Macaca mulatta: one gene and its partners. The protein of the gene in region 1 purifies or fractionates together with the protein of each later gene. This does not show direct contact. Links are inferred from orthologs where the notes say so. Each region holds a gene or a part of one and is shown in the gene's direction. Other genes may lie near its edges. The genes, in order: NEK7, ANKS3, ANKS6 and NLRP3.

The links.
Region 2: the proteins of NEK7 (region 1) and ANKS3 purify together in Homo sapiens (affinity purification with mass spectrometry; 3 studies listed by BioGRID and IntAct, with this or other methods). This does not show direct contact. The link is inferred for Macaca mulatta from reciprocal best matches to the Homo sapiens genes NEK7 and ANKS3.
Region 3: the proteins of NEK7 (region 1) and ANKS6 purify together in Homo sapiens (affinity purification with mass spectrometry; 3 studies listed by BioGRID and IntAct, with this or other methods). This does not show direct contact. The link is inferred for Macaca mulatta from reciprocal best matches to the Homo sapiens genes NEK7 and ANKS6.
Region 4: the proteins of NEK7 (region 1) and NLRP3 purify together in Homo sapiens (affinity purification with western blotting; 9 studies listed by BioGRID and IntAct, with this or other methods). This does not show direct contact. The link is inferred for Macaca mulatta from reciprocal best matches to the Homo sapiens genes NEK7 and NLRP3.

The regions. Positions count from the first base shown.
Region 1 is NC_133406.1:55,876,595-55,881,148, forward strand, and holds part of NEK7 (serine/threonine-protein kinase Nek7), read left to right. Parts: intron 1-2,066; coding exon 2,067-2,129; intron 2,130-3,588; coding exon 3,589-3,699; intron 3,700-4,554. UniProt on the Homo sapiens protein: Protein kinase which plays an important role in mitotic cell cycle progression. Required for microtubule nucleation activity of the centrosome, robust mitotic spindle formation and cytokinesis.
Region 2 is NC_133425.1:5,965,820-5,970,373, reverse strand, and holds part of ANKS3 (ankyrin repeat and SAM domain-containing protein 3), read left to right. Parts: intron 1-3,796; coding exon 3,797-3,955; intron 3,956-4,554. UniProt on the Homo sapiens protein: May be involved in vasopressin signaling in the kidney.
Region 3 is NC_133420.1:59,621,921-59,626,474, forward strand, and holds part of ANKS6 (ankyrin repeat and SAM domain-containing protein 6), read left to right. Parts: intron 1-2,032; coding exon 2,033-2,077; intron 2,078-2,748; coding exon 2,749-2,953; intron 2,954-4,354; coding exon 4,355-4,461; intron 4,462-4,554.
Region 4 is NC_133406.1:1,600,406-1,604,959, reverse strand, and holds part of NLRP3 (NACHT, LRR and PYD domains-containing protein 3), read left to right. Parts: intron 1-1,466; coding exon 1,467-1,637; intron 1,638-3,320; coding exon 3,321-3,491; intron 3,492-4,554. UniProt on the Homo sapiens protein: Sensor component of the NLRP3 inflammasome, which mediates inflammasome activation in response to defects in membrane integrity, leading to secretion of inflammatory cytokines IL1B and IL18 and pyroptosis.

The DNA.
Region 1 (4,554 bases):
ATTTTTATTTTTAATTTTTTTTGAGACGCAGACTCACTCTGTCACCCAGGCTGGAGTGCAGTGGTGCAATCTCAGCTCACTGCAAGCTCTGCCTCCCGGGTTCACGTCATTCTCCTGCCTCAGCCTCCAGAGTAGCTGGGACCATAGGCGCCAGCCACCCCGCCCAGCTAATTTTTTTTTTTTGTATTTTTAGTAAAGATGGATTTTCACCATATTAGCCGGGATGGTCTCGATCTGCTGACCTCGTGATCCGCCAGCCTTGGCCTCCCTAAGTGCTGGGATTACAGGTGTGAGCCACTATGCGCAGCCTGTATATCATTTTATATACTGCTATTTTCACTATGTAAAAGCACATGCATTTGTACAAGAAATAAAAGGGACTGAGCCAAAGCTAAAATTCTTTAAGGCATTGAGTTTATGGATTTTATTTTTGCTTTATAATCTTATCTAATATCTTCATGGTTTTTTTTAAATTAAGAAAAATTAGAACTTTGTGTATCTTTGGATAGTAAGAATGATATCTAGAAAAAGTTGCCTCTCATAAGCTGTAATTATACACCCTTATTCCATATTTACCTTTATGCATTAGATATCTTTTGTTTCTGTCTGGTAGAACCCTGTAATTCTTTCAAGCTTCACCTCTAATGCTGCCCCCTCCCTACATGGGAGGAATTTCTTCCTTAGGTCTCTAATGCTACATTTTGTACACACATGTATTTTAATACTTCTTAGCTAGTTGTGTATGCATTACACTTCATGACAGCCTGGCTCATTGAGAAAACACTGACTGTGGAGCTAGAACAACCTGGCTTCAAGATTCTGTCATTTACTAGTTTTATGATCATAAGCATATTATTTAATATTTTTGAGCCTCAATCCTCATTTTGTTATTGTGGCCAGTACTACCTATCTTATAAGATTGCAATGAATTTCAAAGCATCATGTGTAAAGAGGCCAGCCCTCTCTGCTGGTGTCTAATAACTACTTCTCTAATTAAAAAGACTTGGATTCTGCCACTCCTTTGACATCGTACCTTTTCTTGGAATGTTAGCTGGCTGAATCAGGAAGACTTGATCAAGCTGATTACTAAAAATGTCATTTTTTAAAATTTGTTATGTCACTAGAGTTTTAATCACCTTGCAGTACTGACTTAGATTTTTTTTTTCCAGTCTCTAAGATATTGCTTTTTTAAATGTTATTTTCCACACACTTAGAACCTTGAGAGATTTGTGTTTTCAGAGACACATGAAATACCTTTTTGATTGTATTTTTTATTTTTATGTTTTTAATGGTAGGTTAATATTTTTCAACCCTTACTTCATTATCTTCCCTTCAAACTGCTTTTTTAGGCATTTCTTCCCAATTACCTCTACCCATGAAATTTTAATTCCACAAATACATCTGTTTATGTGCAATACTGTATGTGTATCTACACTTTATACTTAATAGAGTAAAATTTTGTTACCCTTCTCCTCAAAGAACCAAATTTCACCCCCTTGAAATGATAGCACCCTTGTCAAAAATGCATACATCAGACCTTTTAGACATGATTTGATGGAACAGATTAATAGTTCACTGCTTGGGTTCTAGACGGATAATTCTAAGAATGAATTCTGCTTGCTCTGTTGATTAGCTATGTGACCTTTTGTCAGTCTCCTTAGCTTTCTAAAGCTTCTCTTCTTCATCTGTAAAATGGGAATACTACTATTATCATCCTCATAAGGTTGTGCAGTACATTTAGCATATATTAATTGCTCAACATGTATTAGCTATTACTTTATCATCTTAATAATCACAACTTTAATTTTGTTCTTTGGAACTTAAGACCTTAGTGTCAAGGGATATCTAACTGTTCTCTTTATCCATTTTTTAAATACTGACTGCTGAAAATGTAAGTGTTGTTGGTAACGTAAGATACCTGCAGACCTCTATAATAAATAAAAGCTAATCGGAAAGAAAATTCCTTAGTGTACATATAATTACATGTAGAGTATTAAAATGAATTTACATGATAGCTTGAACCACAGGTTATTATTTCATTAAATAATTCTGGGTTCTATTTTTAGATATTTGATTTAATGGATGCCAAAGCACGTGCTGATTGCATCAAAGAAATAGATCTTCTTAAGGTAATTAATGAACTATTGACTCTTTTGAACATAACATTGTGATAAAAGTGATTTACTAAAATATCACACGTAAACACAAAAAGGTTTTTAAGACTTACACTACACTGATTTTCAAGTAATATTATGTAAGGTTGAATTTCAGTATATTGAAGAATATAGTTATTTTTTGGATTTATTGTTAAATAATATAATCAGAACATTTGGTAGGACCAGCTTTTTTTTTCTCATTTCAAACTAGGAAATAGATAAAACGGGCATAAAACATTGAAAAAATTTTTTTCTTGACCACCCCAACAAGATATATTCTAAAGGTTAAGTAATATAAATGCAAATTAGTATTATCTCAACATGTATTATATTGAAATGGTTCACATGCATTTTCTAATGTTTCAAAACCTTTTTCCAGACTTAGACAGAGTGCATCTAAAGAGTATGCCAGGAATTAGCTTTTTAGTTTCTCATCTACTAAAAATATGACTGAGACCTCAATTATTTCTGCACTGATTCGTTTATAGTGAAGTTTCTTTTGAGAAATGCTGTGGCTTATGTTGTATTTTTAACTTTTAGTTAAGATTTGGGTGTTTTTTTATGCCATCCATTTGTGTTAGTGCCTAAAATGAACCAGATTTATGCAAAAAGGAAAAAAGTAAGGTCAAAGCAATGTTTTCTGACTATTTTGTTAGTTGTAGTTATTTCTTGGCACATGAAGTAGCTGGCTTAAATATATGTGAACTTTTACTGTAGAAATAGCACGTCATCATAGAAAATTTGCGGAGAAAACTTTAAGTAGAAAGAAGAAAGTCACCCATACTTTCTGCATAATTTCTCAGAGAAACAATGCATCTCATATTAATGTGTTTAAAGATTGAACAAAAGGACTGTAAATGAGTAGGGACTGATACATGTATTTCTACAAGGTAAAATTTTTCTTAGGGATGATTTTATGAATTGGCTCACATAAATAAGTCCTGTATATTATTTGATATAAAAGCAATAGTTAGATATAGTATAGTAGATACCAGCTGTGTTTTGTCTGCTAGCTGGAGTTATTCTAGGACCAGCCATAACTTCTAAATAGGAGTAAAAAGGGCTACTTTATCATTGAGTGTTCCTAAATGAAAGTTCTCATTTTGAGGGTGTAATTTTTAGCAGTTGGTGACCTAATTCTGTCATTTACTTCTTGCATCTGTTGATATACTTATTGGGCTTAGCAGTACTTTTAAATTAAGATTTAAATGTAAAATATATTATTTCTAATAATATTAAGGTGAAATTATACCTTTTACTTTTAATAATTGTAGTATTTGTTTCAAAATTCATTAAAGAAAAATATACTGTCATGTTAAGATTTCTATAATTTAAAAAATACAGTTAAGTTTGTTCTTAAGTTACAAAACTGTAAGTGACTCTTAGAAATTTACAGTAAGAAAACTTTCTGATGCCTGTTTTATTTTCTCAGCAACTCAACCATCCAAATGTAATAAAATATTATGCATCATTCATTGAAGATAATGAACTAAACATAGTTTTGGAACTAGCAGATGCTGGTGACCTATCCAGAATGATCAAGGTAAGTTTTTAAAAAATCGTCTTAATATTTTGTTTTGTTTTTTCTAATAGAATTGTCTGTTAAACATATAGGGATATTAGATATTTTAAACTAAAGACCTCAATGCAAGACTTATCTGGTAGATATGTAATAAATAGTAGATGATTAGTGATCATAATTCTGAAACTGGTTTACTTGGTGATGTTTCCACTGGTCAGCTTAAATATCTAAAACCAAAACCAACTTGGAAAGGGACCAAGATACTTGTCTTCTATAAGTCAAGTTTTGCTGTTTGATTCTCTGAGCAGACCATGCTTGCTCCTGTGTCTCTGGACATGAGTAAAAGGAGGTAGAAAGAGACTCTAGAGCAGCCTGACCTATTTCTGGGGGGGATCCATCAAAGAAAGTGGGATTTGCAGTCAGACCTTGGATATCAACCCCACATAAAAATTGTTTTACCTTCTTTTCTAAGGGCATATTAATTGGGTTTAAGTTCAGCTGCAATTAATAGAAACCCTTAAATAATAGTAGCTTAAAAACTGTTTGTCCTTGGGCCAGTTACTCCTCTGCGTCACATTTTCTAAAAAACAAAGTAATAATATGACCTACTTTATAGGATTGTTGTAATTATTGAATTAATTAACATTTATTAAGAGCTTAGAAGAATGCCTCACACATTGTAAGGCTATGTAAATGTATCTGCTGCTGCTATTATTATTATTGTTATTTTTATTACTTCTCTGTCACGTAAAAGTCTGGGGCTAGTATGGTAGCTCTGTTCTATCAAGAGTATTTTAGAGACCTAGCCTATTTCTAGCTTATCAAGTCACACTAGGCTTGAAGGGACAAAGAGTACATGCTGGCTTTATCTTAAAG
Region 2 (4,554 bases), on another chromosome or scaffold:
GACTACAGACGCCCGCCACCTCACCCGGCTAGTTTTTTGTATTTTTTAGTAGAGACGGGGTTTCACCATGTTAGCCAGGATGGTCTCGATCTCCCGACCTCATGATCCGCCCGTCTTGGCCTCCCAAAGTGCTGGGATTACAGGCTTGAGCCACTGCGCCCGGCTGATTTTCTTTCTTTAGGATAAATAACCAGTAGTGGAATTGCTGGATCTCATTTCTTATATTTTAAAAAATTTCTTATATTAAAAAAAATAGAGACAGTGTCTCACTATGTTGCCCAGGCTGGTCTCAAACTCCTGGGCCCAAGTGATCCTCCCGCCTCAGCCTCCCACAGTGCTGAGATTATAGGCGTGAGCCACTGCGCCCGGCCTCACTTCTTATTTTGAATATTTGTGTTTGCTCCTTTTTTCCTTTTAAAGTTAAATACTAGTACTTTGTTTAGTGGAAAAACAAGAAAACCCCATCGGATTTTGATTGATTATTGAGACCTACTGATGGTTTAATTTCTGCTTTTATTTTTCTTTGGCTTACTTTGTTGTTCTAGTTTTTTGAGTTGGAAATTTCTTTCATGTTCATTGTTTCCCTTTTGTTGCTAAATGTTAGAGGCTGTGAATTTTTGCTGATTGCTGCTTTAAGTGTATTCTGGGGGTTCTGTATTTAATACTTTCCTTATTATTTTTCAGAAATTCTATAATTTTTATTTATATTTTCTCCTTCACCCATGAGTTGTCTAATAGAAGTCTTGTGGTTGTTTTTGTTTGTTAATTTCTTGGTAGAAGGGCCTTTTTGATCTTGTGATTAATTTCTCATGTTATTCTGATCACCTTTATTCTAGTGTGTCTGATCAGGTAGTGTTTATAATTCTTACCTTGACAGAACTTCTTTGTCATCTTATTTATCACCTGCTGATCAATAGATATATATTTTTTCAGATGTAGTCTCACTCTGTCACCCAGGCTTGAGTGCCCAGGCGCAATTTCGGCTCACCACCACCTCTACCTCCCAGGTTCAAGCGACTCTCCTGCCTCAGTCTCCCGAGTAGTTGGGATTACAGGCGTCTGCCACCACGCCTGGCTGATTTTTTTTTTTTTTGTATTTTTAGTAGGACAGCGTTTCACCATGTTGGCCAGGTTGGTCTCGAAGTCCTGACCTCAAGTGATCCGCCCACCTCAGCCTCCCAAAGTGCTGGGATTACAGGCGTGAGCCACCGCGCCCAGCCCTGATCAATATTTTTTAATGTTCTGTGTTTTGCTTGAGAAGAAGTTGTATTCTCTATTTTCTGTGTATACAATTTAGCGTATCTGTGAGTATCTTATTTAGGATTATGTACTTTTAGTTCATTTTCTACAAAATTACCTATTAGTGATTTATGAAGGAAGTTGGTGCATTTTTGGTGACAGATTTTCTTAACTTGTTATAGATTCACTGTGAATTACGGCTTTCAGTATTAGAAATGTCCTTCTAGCCGGGCATGGCTCATGCCTGTAATCCCAGCACTTTGGGAGGCCAAGACGGGCAGATCACCTGAGGTCAGGAGTTCGAGACCAGCCCAGCCCACATGGTGAAACCGTGTGTCTACTCGAAATGCAAAAATTAGCCAGGCATGGTGGCACACACCTGTAATGCCAGCTACTTGGGAGACTGAGGCAGGAGAATCATTTGAACCCGGGAGGCGGTTACAATGAGCCGAGATTGTGCCACTGCACTCCAGCCTGGGTATAGAGGGAAACTCTGTCTCAAAAAAAAAAAAAAAAAAAAGTCCTTCTGTGTCATATTTAATGTATTTTGCCCTGATTTCCACTTTGATAGGAGGATTGCAGCTCTGGCTTTTTTGTGGTTTCCATCTGCCTGTAATTCTTAAGCCGCTCTGAGGGTGTGTTGGGTGCTGAGATTCACGCAGCTGCCGTTCCCTTGCTTATTGCCACCTTTGTGCATTTGTCTTACAGCTCCCTCCCCTTTAGCTTGGATGGAAGCACAGTCTCCCTGGGGTGCTGTAGATCTTTGAGTGTGAGGGGGTGTGTGTCCACATAGCTAGCTCAGTCGCCAGGGCGTGAGCCTCTTCATGGGGAAGGACAGAGTGGCCCATGTTCAGGGCCTGAGCTCTCCTTCTTTGCTGGCCTGCCCTGAATTATCCTGTCAGTTTGCACCTGAGTGAGCAGCTCCTTTCTCAGGGTCAGGCTCAGCCCAGCTCCTTCCCTGGTGTTGGGATTGTTTCATAGTAAACACAGCTCAGGTGGTAAAATGGTAACGCAGGGGACCTCTGCCTTCATTTCCGTCTCAGCTTACCAGCTCCACAAGGAGATCTCATGATTTCCTCCTGCATCCAACTCACGTATCTCGTAAAAGTAGAATCGGATCAGAGCCTTATATAAGTCAAATATGAAAAACTGAAAAGCTACAAAATAGTAAAAGCCCTGGGTTGAGCTCTGAAAGCTCAGAAAGCTCAGACTGGGCAGTGATTTGAAACACTTTATAATCATAGCAAACACATGCCATGCTTTAGAAAATACAGAATTGCGGCCGGGCACAGTAGCTCATGCCTGTGATCCCAGCACTTGGGGAAGCCAACGCGGGTGGATCACAAGGTCAGGAGATCAAGACCAGCCTGGCTAACATGGTGAAACTCCATCTTTACTAAAAATACAAAAACAAAACTAGCCGGGCATGGTGTCGGGCGCCTGTAGTCGCAGCTACTCAGGAGCCTGAGGCAGGAGAATGGTGTGAACCCGGGAGGTGGAGCTTGTAGTGAGCCTTGATCGTGCCATTGCACTCCAGCCTGGGCGATGGAGCGAGACTTCATCTCAAAAAAATAAAGAAAAAAAGAAAAAACAGAATTCCTTAATAAGTTGTTTGCAGCCAGGCACAGTGGTTTACGCCTGTAATCACTTTGGGAGGCTGAGGTGGGTGGATCACCTGAGGTCAGGAGTTCGAGACCAGCCTGACTAATATGATAAAACCCCATCTCTACTAAAGTACAAAAATTAGCTGGGTATGGTGGTGCATGGCTGTAATCCCAGCTACGCGGGAGGCTGAGACAGGAGAATCACTTGAACCCAGGAGGCAGAAGTTCTAGCCTGGGCAACAAGAGCAAAACTCCATCTCAAAAAAAAAAAAAAAGTTGCTTCCAAAGGAAGGGATCAGGAAAAAGAAGTTGTGACTGATATTACCATATATTTTAATGAAGAGATGAATTTTATTTATTCAAATTAGAACAAAATTTCTGATTATGAACAATACAGGCTTATGAACAATTTTACAAACCTCGACAGAGATAAGAATGAAACTCCTGGCCAGGCGCGGTGGCTCACGCCTGTAATCCCAGCACTTTGGGAGGCCGAGGCAGGCAGATCACCTGAGGTCAGGAGTTGGAGACCAGCCTGGCCAACATGGCAAAAGCCTGTCTCTGCTTAAAGAAAAAGAAAAAGCTGGGCATGGTGTCACGCACCTGTAATCCCAGCTACTTGGGAGGGTGAGACATGAGAATCGCTTGAACCCAGGAGGCGGAGGTTGCAGTGAGTGAGCCAGGATCATGCCATTACACTTCAGCTCGGGGGACAGAGACTGTGTCTCAAGAAAAATGAAACTTCCGATCCTCACTAACTTTGCAGCTCCCTGTGGCCCATTGGAGCAGCGCCCCGGCCTGTTAGGGCATTTCTCAAAAGTGATGCCCCGGCAGATACCCTTCTCCTTAATTTAACAAAACTGGCGACAGTTACTTTCTTTCAGTTTGCCATAAGGATTAGTAAATGAGTCCATCACTGAACAGACTATCTTAATCCTGGTGTTTGACCACAGAAAAGTACGAAGATCTGAGCTCCTCTGACGAGTCCTGCCCTGCTCCTCAGAGACAGAGGCCGTGCCGGAAGAAGGGTGTCAGCATCCACGAGGGACCGCGAGCCCTGGCCAGGATCACAGGCATTGGCCTGGGCGGCAGAGCCCCACGGCCTCGCTATGGTGAGTGGCCCGCGTTTCCCGAGGGCTCTTTCTCTCTGCATACCAAGATTCTGTGTTGGCCAGGATGGACTAGCTCTTAGGCTCCTGAAACATGGGTCGCTGGACCTTAGGTGGCAGCGGGACAGGTGGCCCAGCTTTCATGCTCAGGGAGACTCAGGATTGAGTCCACTGATGGAAATGCACTGGTCACGGACTAGCTCTTCTTTTTTGCTTAATCTCCTTGAGTTTCCTTTTCATTGGCTAAATTTAGGAATAGAACTTTCTCTCCTGCAGCAGAAATGTAGCCCGCTCAGATTTCATTCATCACATAGGTGAAACCCTGTCTCTACAAACATGTAGCTGGGCATGGTGGCAGGCGTCTATAATCCCAGCTACTCAGGAGGCTGAGGCAAGGGAATCGCTTGAACCCAGGAGGTGGAGGTTGCAGTGAGTCAAGATCACACCACTGCACTCCAACCTGGCAACAGTGCAAGACTGTCTAAAAAAAAAAAAAACCGGCCGGGCGCGGTGGCTCACGCCTGTAATCCCAGCACTTTGGGAGGCCGAGACGGGCGGATCACAAGGTCAGGAGATCGAGACCATCCTGGGTAACACGGCGA
Region 3 (4,554 bases), on another chromosome or scaffold:
GACGTGCCCAGAGTCACTGGGTGTCAGGACACAACTGCACCTGCCTCCTGGGGCCAGGCTCCGCTGTCAGTGATTAACTTGTGTCAGATGGTTGCTTAGCAGCAAACACTAAGACCAGGTGACACTCTTCTGTGAAAAGGTCTTGGCATGAGAAGACCCCCCCACCACAGCAAAGATGGTTCGTGAATACTTGGAGGAACATGACATATTTTTTAAAAGTCAGGTGCAAAATTGTTTCTTGATAGTATTTCACAGGCAAAATTGATGTACTGTGTCCTGTGGCAGTGTCTGTACTTCTCATGAAGAATTCTGGGATTCTGGCCAGGTGTGGTGGCTCATGCCTGTAATCCCAGCACTTTGGGAGGCGGAGATGGGTAGATCATGAGGTCAGGAGTTCGAGACCAACCTGCCCTAGATGGTGAAACCCCGTCTCTACTAAAAATGCAAAAATTAGCCAGGTGTGGTGGCGGGTGCCTGTAATCCCAGCTACTCTGGAAGCTGAGGCAGGAGAATCGCTTGAACCCGGGAGGTGGAGATTGCAGTGAGCCGAGATCTTGCCACTGCCCTCTAACCTGGGAGACAGGGCAAGACTCTGTCTCAAAAAAAAAAAAAAAAAAAAAAAGGAATTCTGGGGTTCTGGCCTGGAGCGGTGGCTCACGCCTGCAATCCCAACAGTTTGGGAGGCCAAGGCGGGCAGATCACTCAAGGTCAGGAGTTAAAGACCAGCCTGGCCAACATGGCGAAACACTGTCTCTTACAAACATTAGCCAGGTGTGGTGGCATGTGCCTGTAATCCCAGCTACTCGGGAGGCTGAGGCACAAGAATCACTTGAACCCAGGAGGCAGAGGTTGCAGTGAGCCGAGATCACACCACTGCACTCCAGCCTGGGCAACAGAGTGAGACTCCATCTCATAAAAAGAATTCTGGGGTCCACCTTGCTGGTTGCTAGTAAAGAAATAATTGTTCTTTGAATGGGGCTTTAACATTATCATTTGATCCCTGCAACAGCCAGATGAAAGGGATGTTATCCCCACATTTGTGATGAAGAGGCAGCTTACTGTAAAAATGCGCACTGAAATTCTTATGCACTGACTCCACACTCAGTGCTCCTTGCCCCGGGCTGCAGCTTCCTCCCAGCTGCTCAAGAGGGCTTATCTGGACCAGAGTCAGCCCAGATTCACAAGTTCCCTCTGGCAGCTGCTCCGTCCCCTGGGATCAGTTAAAGACTGCAGAAGGCCTGCCTTCAGCCCCCTAGCAAGCAGACTGGCCATGAGGATGCCTCCTCTGACAGGAGCAGGGTACCTGCTGGCCCAGGCTTGGAGGAAGGTGTGGGATGAGCATGTGAGAGAGGGGCTAGCATCTGGCAGCTGCAGCAAGGCTCAGCTGTGCAGGTAGGCATGGGGTCTGGCCCCAACCTAGCAGCTGGGCTTCAGGGTACAGCATGAAGATGCCCAGTTGGGCAGTGGCCTTTGGGCAGCTGTGTCTGCAGGTTTGGGGCAGGGAGCATGTTCTGATTGCTTCTTACATGGGAGGGAAAGAAAACATGAGCATTGGCTCTTCTGTTGGCTGTGTCTGTGAACTTCCGTAGAGCTCAGCTGCTCGGTATGTCAGCAGCAGATTTGGAATTATGATTGTATGTTTAGTTTTTAAAAGAAAAAAAATTTTTTTAAACAATGTCCATAGGAATCCAAGATTTTCCAAGACCCCAAGACTTTTCAGTATATCTAGGAAAGGATATGCCAACATTTGTTTTGCCTAAAAATGATTGCTTTATTTGCATGAGATCAGGGCCGTGATCTGCTGCTCTTTTGTGTTTTGTTGGCAAGATCTGTCTCTGAAGTGTTTTCAGATGTTCTTTGGTAATAAACCTTCCAGAAGGGCTGCTGGATTTGTCCATTACGTAGGTCTCCAATTAGATTGCTTTTGAGAATTAGATGCTTTTTAAAGCCAGGCTGTGTTGTTACACCCTTGTGACTTTTCTGTTATATTAAACCTTTCCGTGGTTAACTTTTAAAATCTTTGTTTACCCAGATGAAGAGAAAAGGCGACCTGATATTTTCCATGCATTGAAAATGGGTAAGCGCTTTAGAAGATCTTTTTGGATATTTAAGAATACAGAACTACATTCTCCCAACCTAATATTTGTAGTCCTTTGCAGGGCCACCCAGGTTATTTGAGAAAGAAACAGGCATTTTGGTGTTTGGTGTTTGGAAGTTCAGATCCTGGAGGCCAGTATTTATTATGGAGCTCTACACATAGACTCCAGAGGGCCTCCAGCCCCACTCCAGCCGAACACTGGCTAGCTATATGCCCCAGCTCTTCCTGCCTCTGAAATGCCTGTCTGCATACCCATTCCAGTCTCTTTGTGACAAAGAGACATTTAGCCTAAAATTTTCTCTCTTGATATAGACCCTTCCTCCAGGAAGCCTTTCCCGATCCTCACCCCACAGCAAGACCTGAATTCTCCTTCTGCCTTCTTCTGTGTCCTTCATCTGTTCTCTGAAGATACTAACAATACTTCTGTCTTTTAGTAACACTTCTACCCATTCGTGTGCTTGTCTCTGTCCCGCCTAGACTGAAGCATTTGAGAGTCAGCGCTATCTCTGACCCCCTCTTAGTATCCCCTATGGTGCCCAGCAGCCCACTGCAGAGGCAGGGCCAGCAAGTGTTTGTTACGTGAACCACAGGATAAATCAGCTTATGGTCCCAGGCCCACAGATCACCCAGACTCTTGCTTGTGTTTGTAGGAAACTTCCAGCTGGTCAAAGAGATTGCCGATGAAGACCCCAGCCACGTGAACTTGGTCAATGGGGACGGGGCGACGCCCCTGATGCTAGCAGCTGTTACAGGGCAGCTGGCTCTGGTGCAGCTACTGGTGGAGAGGCACGCGGATGTTGACAAGCAGGACAGCGTGCATGGCTGGACAGCCCTCATGCAGGCGACCTACCATGGGTCAGTGCCAGCTCCACGCCCTCAGCAACAAGGCCAGACATATGTTCTGGCCTGAGATGGGGGTTTCCAGTGGGCTCTTCTGGTCCTGAGATGCTGCATACAAACCCCAGGACTGTGATGACATTGAGGCATGCAAAAAAAAAAAAAAAGAAAGAAAAAAATGAAAGCGGCACAGGTTCATTTTATTTCCACCCTTCTGTGTCCAGATTTCCTGTTCTCCCATCACAGAATTTCACCAGTGGCCATGAAAAACCATGCAGCAGAAGCATTTTATGCAGAGAGATAAGGTTCTCTAGGTTGGTTTCAGTTGAACACAATGACTGGTTCATTGGAGTTTTCACACTGAGATATAGTGACCTCCTTAAGTAGCCCCTGTATGAAGTAAACATTGGTGATTCATACCATTGTCATCTTGTGATGATTGATGGTGAGATGTGTCCTACCTCTCTCCTTTTGAATAAGCTTCAGTGTTTACAGGGTGCTTATGAACCCCTTCTTATGTGATCATCCCAGCAGGGTGGGCTGTCATCCTCCTGGAGGCCTCCTCTTTGGGGTGGGCATCTTGTAGCTGCTAAGTTATCTGATTCCCAATTAGAGGTTCTTTCCTTACCCTCTTTTAGGTGATTAGATCACTTTCCTGTGTCATCTGAAAGCAGTTTGTTTTCTTCTTCGATGAGCATTGAATTCCAAGATGAAATTTTATTTCAGACACCTTGGTCTGTAGGAGACTTACCCAATGGACATGTCCTGGTTTAGGGTGGAAGAAGTGGGGTCTCCCATGGGGTCAGTGATTTTTGGGCAGAGCCCTTGGTTTGGTCCTCTTCCCCTTCCCCTTTCCCTTTCCCTTCCCCTTCCCCTTCCCCTTCCCTTCCCCTTCCCTTCTGTTTCCGACAGTATCTCACTTTGTTGCCAGGCCGGAGTGCAGTAGCGTGATCATGGCTCATTACAGCCTTGACCTCCCAGACTCAAGCAATCCTCCTGCCTCAGTCTCTCAAGTAGCTGGGACTACAGGCTTGCACCACCACACCCAGCTGATTTTTAAACAAAATTTTTGGTAGAGACAAGGCCCCCCATGTTGCCCAGGCTGGTCTCAAACTCCTGGGCTCAAGCCATCCTCCCGCCTTTGCTTCCCAAAGTGGTGGGATTACAAGTGTGAGCCACCACATCTAGCCTCGGTTTTCATTTTGTTCCTGGAAGGAACACTTAGACTTTGATTTAAATCATGTTCCCGCTTGACCTGCCCACGTGCTAGGGAATGAGAGAATGAGACTGTTTGCCCTTCCATGCCCTTCTTAAATGCTCAGAGACTGAGCCTTGTAGTTAATGTTGTTGGTTTTGTTGCCCAGGAGCAAAGCCATACTTTTGCTTTCAGTGAATGTAACTCTAGCATTTTCTTCCCAGGAATAAGGAAATTGTCAAATATCTGCTAAACCAAGGGGCTGATGTCACTCTTCGTGCAAAAAATGGATACACAGCCTTTGACCTGGTGATGCTGCTGAATGATCCCGGTGGGTAATTTCAAGAAAAGGGTTGTAAATCTACCCAGCATTTCTCCGGCTGGGAGTCAAGACAACCACCTCCTCTGTGACTTGTATTTTATG
Region 4 (4,554 bases), about 54 Mb from region 1:
ATTACAGGCATGAGACACCGCACCCGGCCTTTGTGTAACTCTTACCCAAATAGTGAACATTGTACCCAATAAGTAATTTTCCAGCCCTCACCTGGGTCCCACCCTCCCACCCTTCTGAGGCTCCAGTGTCTATCATTCTATGCTCTGTGGATGTTACCCTTTGTTTAGCTCAAACTTGTAAGTGAGAACATGTGGTATTTGACTCTGTTTCTGAGGTATTTCACTTAAGATAATGGCCTCCAGTTTCATCCATGTGGCTTCAAAGATGTGACTTCCTTCTTTTCTATGGCTGAGCAGTATTCCATTGTGTATATAGATCACACTCTCTTGATCTTTGCTCTTTTGATAAATTTCAAATTGTCGTACCATGGAGACTGGCTCTTTGGGACACTTAACCTTATTTCTCCAACTTCATCCCCAAGTTCTCTCCCCACTGCCATTGCCCCTGTGTGATTCTGGAGAGGGAGACACAAACAGGAAAGGGTAGGTGACAATGAGATGTTCTGCAGATAAGTAGAGATCCATTTGTCCATTTGCTTGAAGTTGGTGTAAGGATAGGGACAGAAAGGAAGGTGGTCTAACAGGCTCCAGGACCTATGAACTATTGCCCTGGAAAGAAACTAGAATGTCGTTCTCGCCCCCACGACAGGGATACATTTTTGTTGCTGGTGGTGGTGGTGACGGTGGTAGTGATGTGCGTGTGTGTGTGTGCATGTGTGTAACGGTGAAACCAATAAAGAATCAGAGCTGCAGCGGGGTGCGGAACCCCAGCACTTTGAGAGGCTGAGGTGGGCAGATCATAAGCCCAGGAGTTCAAAACCAGCCTGAGCAAGCTGGTCAGACCTTGTCTTTACAAAATAATAAATAAATAAATAAATAAATAAATAAAATAGCTAAGCATGGTAGCACATGCTGGTATTTGCAGCCACTTGGGAGGCTGAGGCAGGTGGATCTCCTTGAGCACAGGAGTTCTAGGTGGCAGTGAGCTATGATCTCACCATTGCACTCCAGCCTGTGCAACAAAGTGAGACCCTGTCTCTAAAAAAAAAGAAAAGAAAAAGAAAGAGAAAAAGAATCAGAGCTGCTTTTCCTTTCAATATAGATGGATGGCTGGGATGAAATCATCAAGCACAATGGGGTGACAATGTTGGTAAAGACAAGAAATAGCTGAGTGCAGCGCTGGCGAGGGCAGAGCCGACTGCGGGCACATCAACAGTTAGGAACACAAGGGAAGGAGGTGGAGTGCACAGGCCCACACCACCCGTTTCACTTACAAGCCAGGAGCTCACCATTCACTTGTCTGGGGGGTGACTGCAATGCACCCGGCACTGTTTATGGCCGGGAATTCACTGACGGGTGCTCCCTCTGCTGTGACTGGGGAGCCTGAGGGCTGACCTTGTGCTGTATTCCGGAGTTCTCTGGTCAGATGTGTTCTGACGCTTTCTGCCTCTGTTCTTGGCATGAAGGTTGGGGCGCTGCGGCCTCTCGCATGAGTGCTGCTTCGACATCTCCTTGGTCCTCAGCAGCAACCAGAAGCTGGTGGAGCTGGACCTGAGCGACAACGCCCTTGGGGACTTCGGGATCAGACTTCTGTGTGTGGGACTGAAGCACCTGTTGTGCAATCTGAAGAAGCTCTGGTGAGTTGAGCCCGTTCCCCAAAGGAAGCCCTGCCAACAAGGCATGTTTCGCACTCTGGCTTCAGTGAGGCCTGGGGGGCTGGAGTTTGAGTGACAGTGGCCTCGGCGGCTCAGGTGGCTGTGTGTGCTTGTCTCTGGGTGTCTGTGGCATTTCGGTTAGTTAGTGTTTGCTGTGGGGAATGTCACACACTCAACCCTGACAAGGGGCATAAGTAATAAAAAAAGAAGATGACTGCCTGTAGGGTGCCCACTGCCTTAGCTGAGAAAAAGAAGAAAACCAGTGTAATGCATTGCTTTAGAGGAGTTTTAGAATTTCATGACAAGCCCTGGGTCCTCATGTTGTATAAGAAAAATGGTGCTAAAGCAGTGCAGACACTCGATGTTGTATGCAGCCCTTCCCTGAATGCTTCTGGGAGACTTGCATTTTGAAGGAGAGAAAAAAACACTTAAAAATGGAAGGGCCAATTCTCACCCATTAGGATGGCTATTATTAAACAAAAGCAAGAAAACTAGAAAACAAGTATTGGCATGGATACGGAGAAATGGAAGCCATTGTGTATTGCTGGTGGGAAAGTAAATGATGCAGCCAGTGTGGAAAACAGCACTGCAATTCCTAAAACAATATAGAATTACTATTGAAGCCAGCATTTCCACTCCTGGGTATATCTGCAAAAGAGTTCAAAGCAGTAACTCAGCCAGGCACAGTGGCTCACACCTGTAATCCCAGCATTTTGGGAGGCCGAGGCAGGTGGATCACTTGAGGTCAGGAGTTTGAGACTAGCCTGGCCATCATAGTAAAACCTTGTCTCTACTAAAAATACAAAAATTAGCCAGGCGTGGTGGCACGTGCTTGTAATCCCAGCTACTCCGGGTGGAGGCAAGAGAATCGTTTGAACCTGGGAGGCGGAGGTTGCAGTGAGTCAAGATCATGCCACTGCATTCCCACCTGGGTAACCGAGGAAGAGTTAAAAAAAAAAAGAAGGCAGGAACTCAAACATGTTATTTGTACACCCATGTCCATAGCAACACTATTAGCACTAGCCAAAAGGTAGAAATAACCCAAACGTCCTTCAACGGATAAAGGGTGTTGAAAAGTGCTATATATGTACATTCAGCTTTAAAAGGAATTCTAGTACACACTACAACATGGATGAGCCTCAGGGACATTATGCTAAGTAAGATAAGCTAGGCTTGAAAGGGCAAATACTCTGTGATTGTCCTGATAAGAGGTGCCTAGAATAGTCAGATTCATAGAGACAGAAAGAAAGGTGGTTGCAGGCAATGGGAGAGTGGGGAACGGGAAGACATTGTTTAATGGTTATGGAGTTTCAGTTCGGCAAGATGAAAGGAGTTCTGGAGACGGTGGTGAAGATGGTTGCACAACAATGTGAATGTGCTTAAGGCCGTTAATCGTGCACTTAAAAATGGTTAAGATGGTAAATTTCATTTTACACGTATTTCACCACAATAAAGCTGAATGTAGGGAGCTGGGAAGATGTAGTATTGGTGCGAGCTTGTTATTCCGCCAGATGGAAGAGGAAATCAGAAGTGTACGTAGAGCTTGTGTCCACTCCCTTTCCATGTGTAAACTGGAGTAGAGGCAGTGGCAGGTACGGGTGCCTCCTTGTTCATGGTGGAGCGTGGGTGAGAGACATGACTGACATTCTGCCGTCTTTGTGGAAGGCTGGTCAGCTGCTGCCTCACATCAGCGTGTTGTCAGGATCTTGCGTCAGTATTGAGCACCAGCCGTTCCCTGACCAGACTCTACGTGGGGGAGAATGCCCTGGGAGACGCAGGAGTCGCAATTTTATGTGAAAAAGCCAAGAATCCACAATGTAACCTGCAGAAACTGGGGTAAGTCTTCATGGGTGTCTCAGCAGAAAAGTAACTTCTTTTCAGAGGTGAATTATGTGGAAAATGTGGATGGGGGTTACTCTGGTCAGGCAGAGTTGAAGGTAGAGTAAGGAGGTAAAAACATCAGAAATGGTTTGAAGGACTGGATGTATATAATGTATACTACTGCTAATGAGATAATTTATGCTAATTTATGATTATAGCATTAGAGTTTCTTAGTGTTGGAAAAAACCTTAGAGATTGTGCAGCCCAATTGCCCATTGAGGAAAAAAATTGTTTCCAAGGCACTCACATGAATAGTCACCCATTTTATGTGTGCATGCATGCAAGTTATCGTCCAGTGCGTGCAGCCTCTACACCAGGAAAGAGCTCTTACCCTGCAGCCTCTACAGTAGGAGAGGGATTTTACCCTGCAGCCTCTGCACTAGGAGAGAGCTTTTACCCTGCAGCCTCTTTATCCTCAACAGTGTCAGGGCTCAGCACCTTCACCTGTGTAGCCATGCTCTCCCAGGTACACAGGCTGGTTTGTTAGTGTCTCTCTTTGCAATTTGGTGCCCAGACCTGATGACGTGTGGTGGATGTTTTAGCTCCTGTTGCAGAGAACTATGGTTTCACTGGTGGAGCCTCTGATTTCCTTATGGTTTTTGGCAGTTACATAAACCTTTTGGTTCATGTTGGAATTCTGCAGTAAACAGTAGTAGAGAATACCCACTAATAATCATGCACTTTCCCTGTACCACTTTCCCTATACCACTTTCCCGTATCACCTGCTCTTTCCTGTTCTTACATGGATTTTCTCAGTTGGCGTCAGAAAGATGCTGTAAGGTGGGTATCTGTGTCTCCAGTTTAAAGAGGAGAAAATACAACTCAGGGAGCCTCGTAACTTTGTCCAAGGACACTCAGAGAGAAGGTAGTGGAACTCAGTGTAGACAAACGTCTGTGACCCCCCCAGCCACTGCCTTAATTCCCAGTGCATCGCCTTAGGAGATGTTGCTAATGGGCTCTCTACGGGGCTTCTTCCTCTGGCTCTCAGCCTAAGGGTGGGACCTTCAATTTAGCTTTG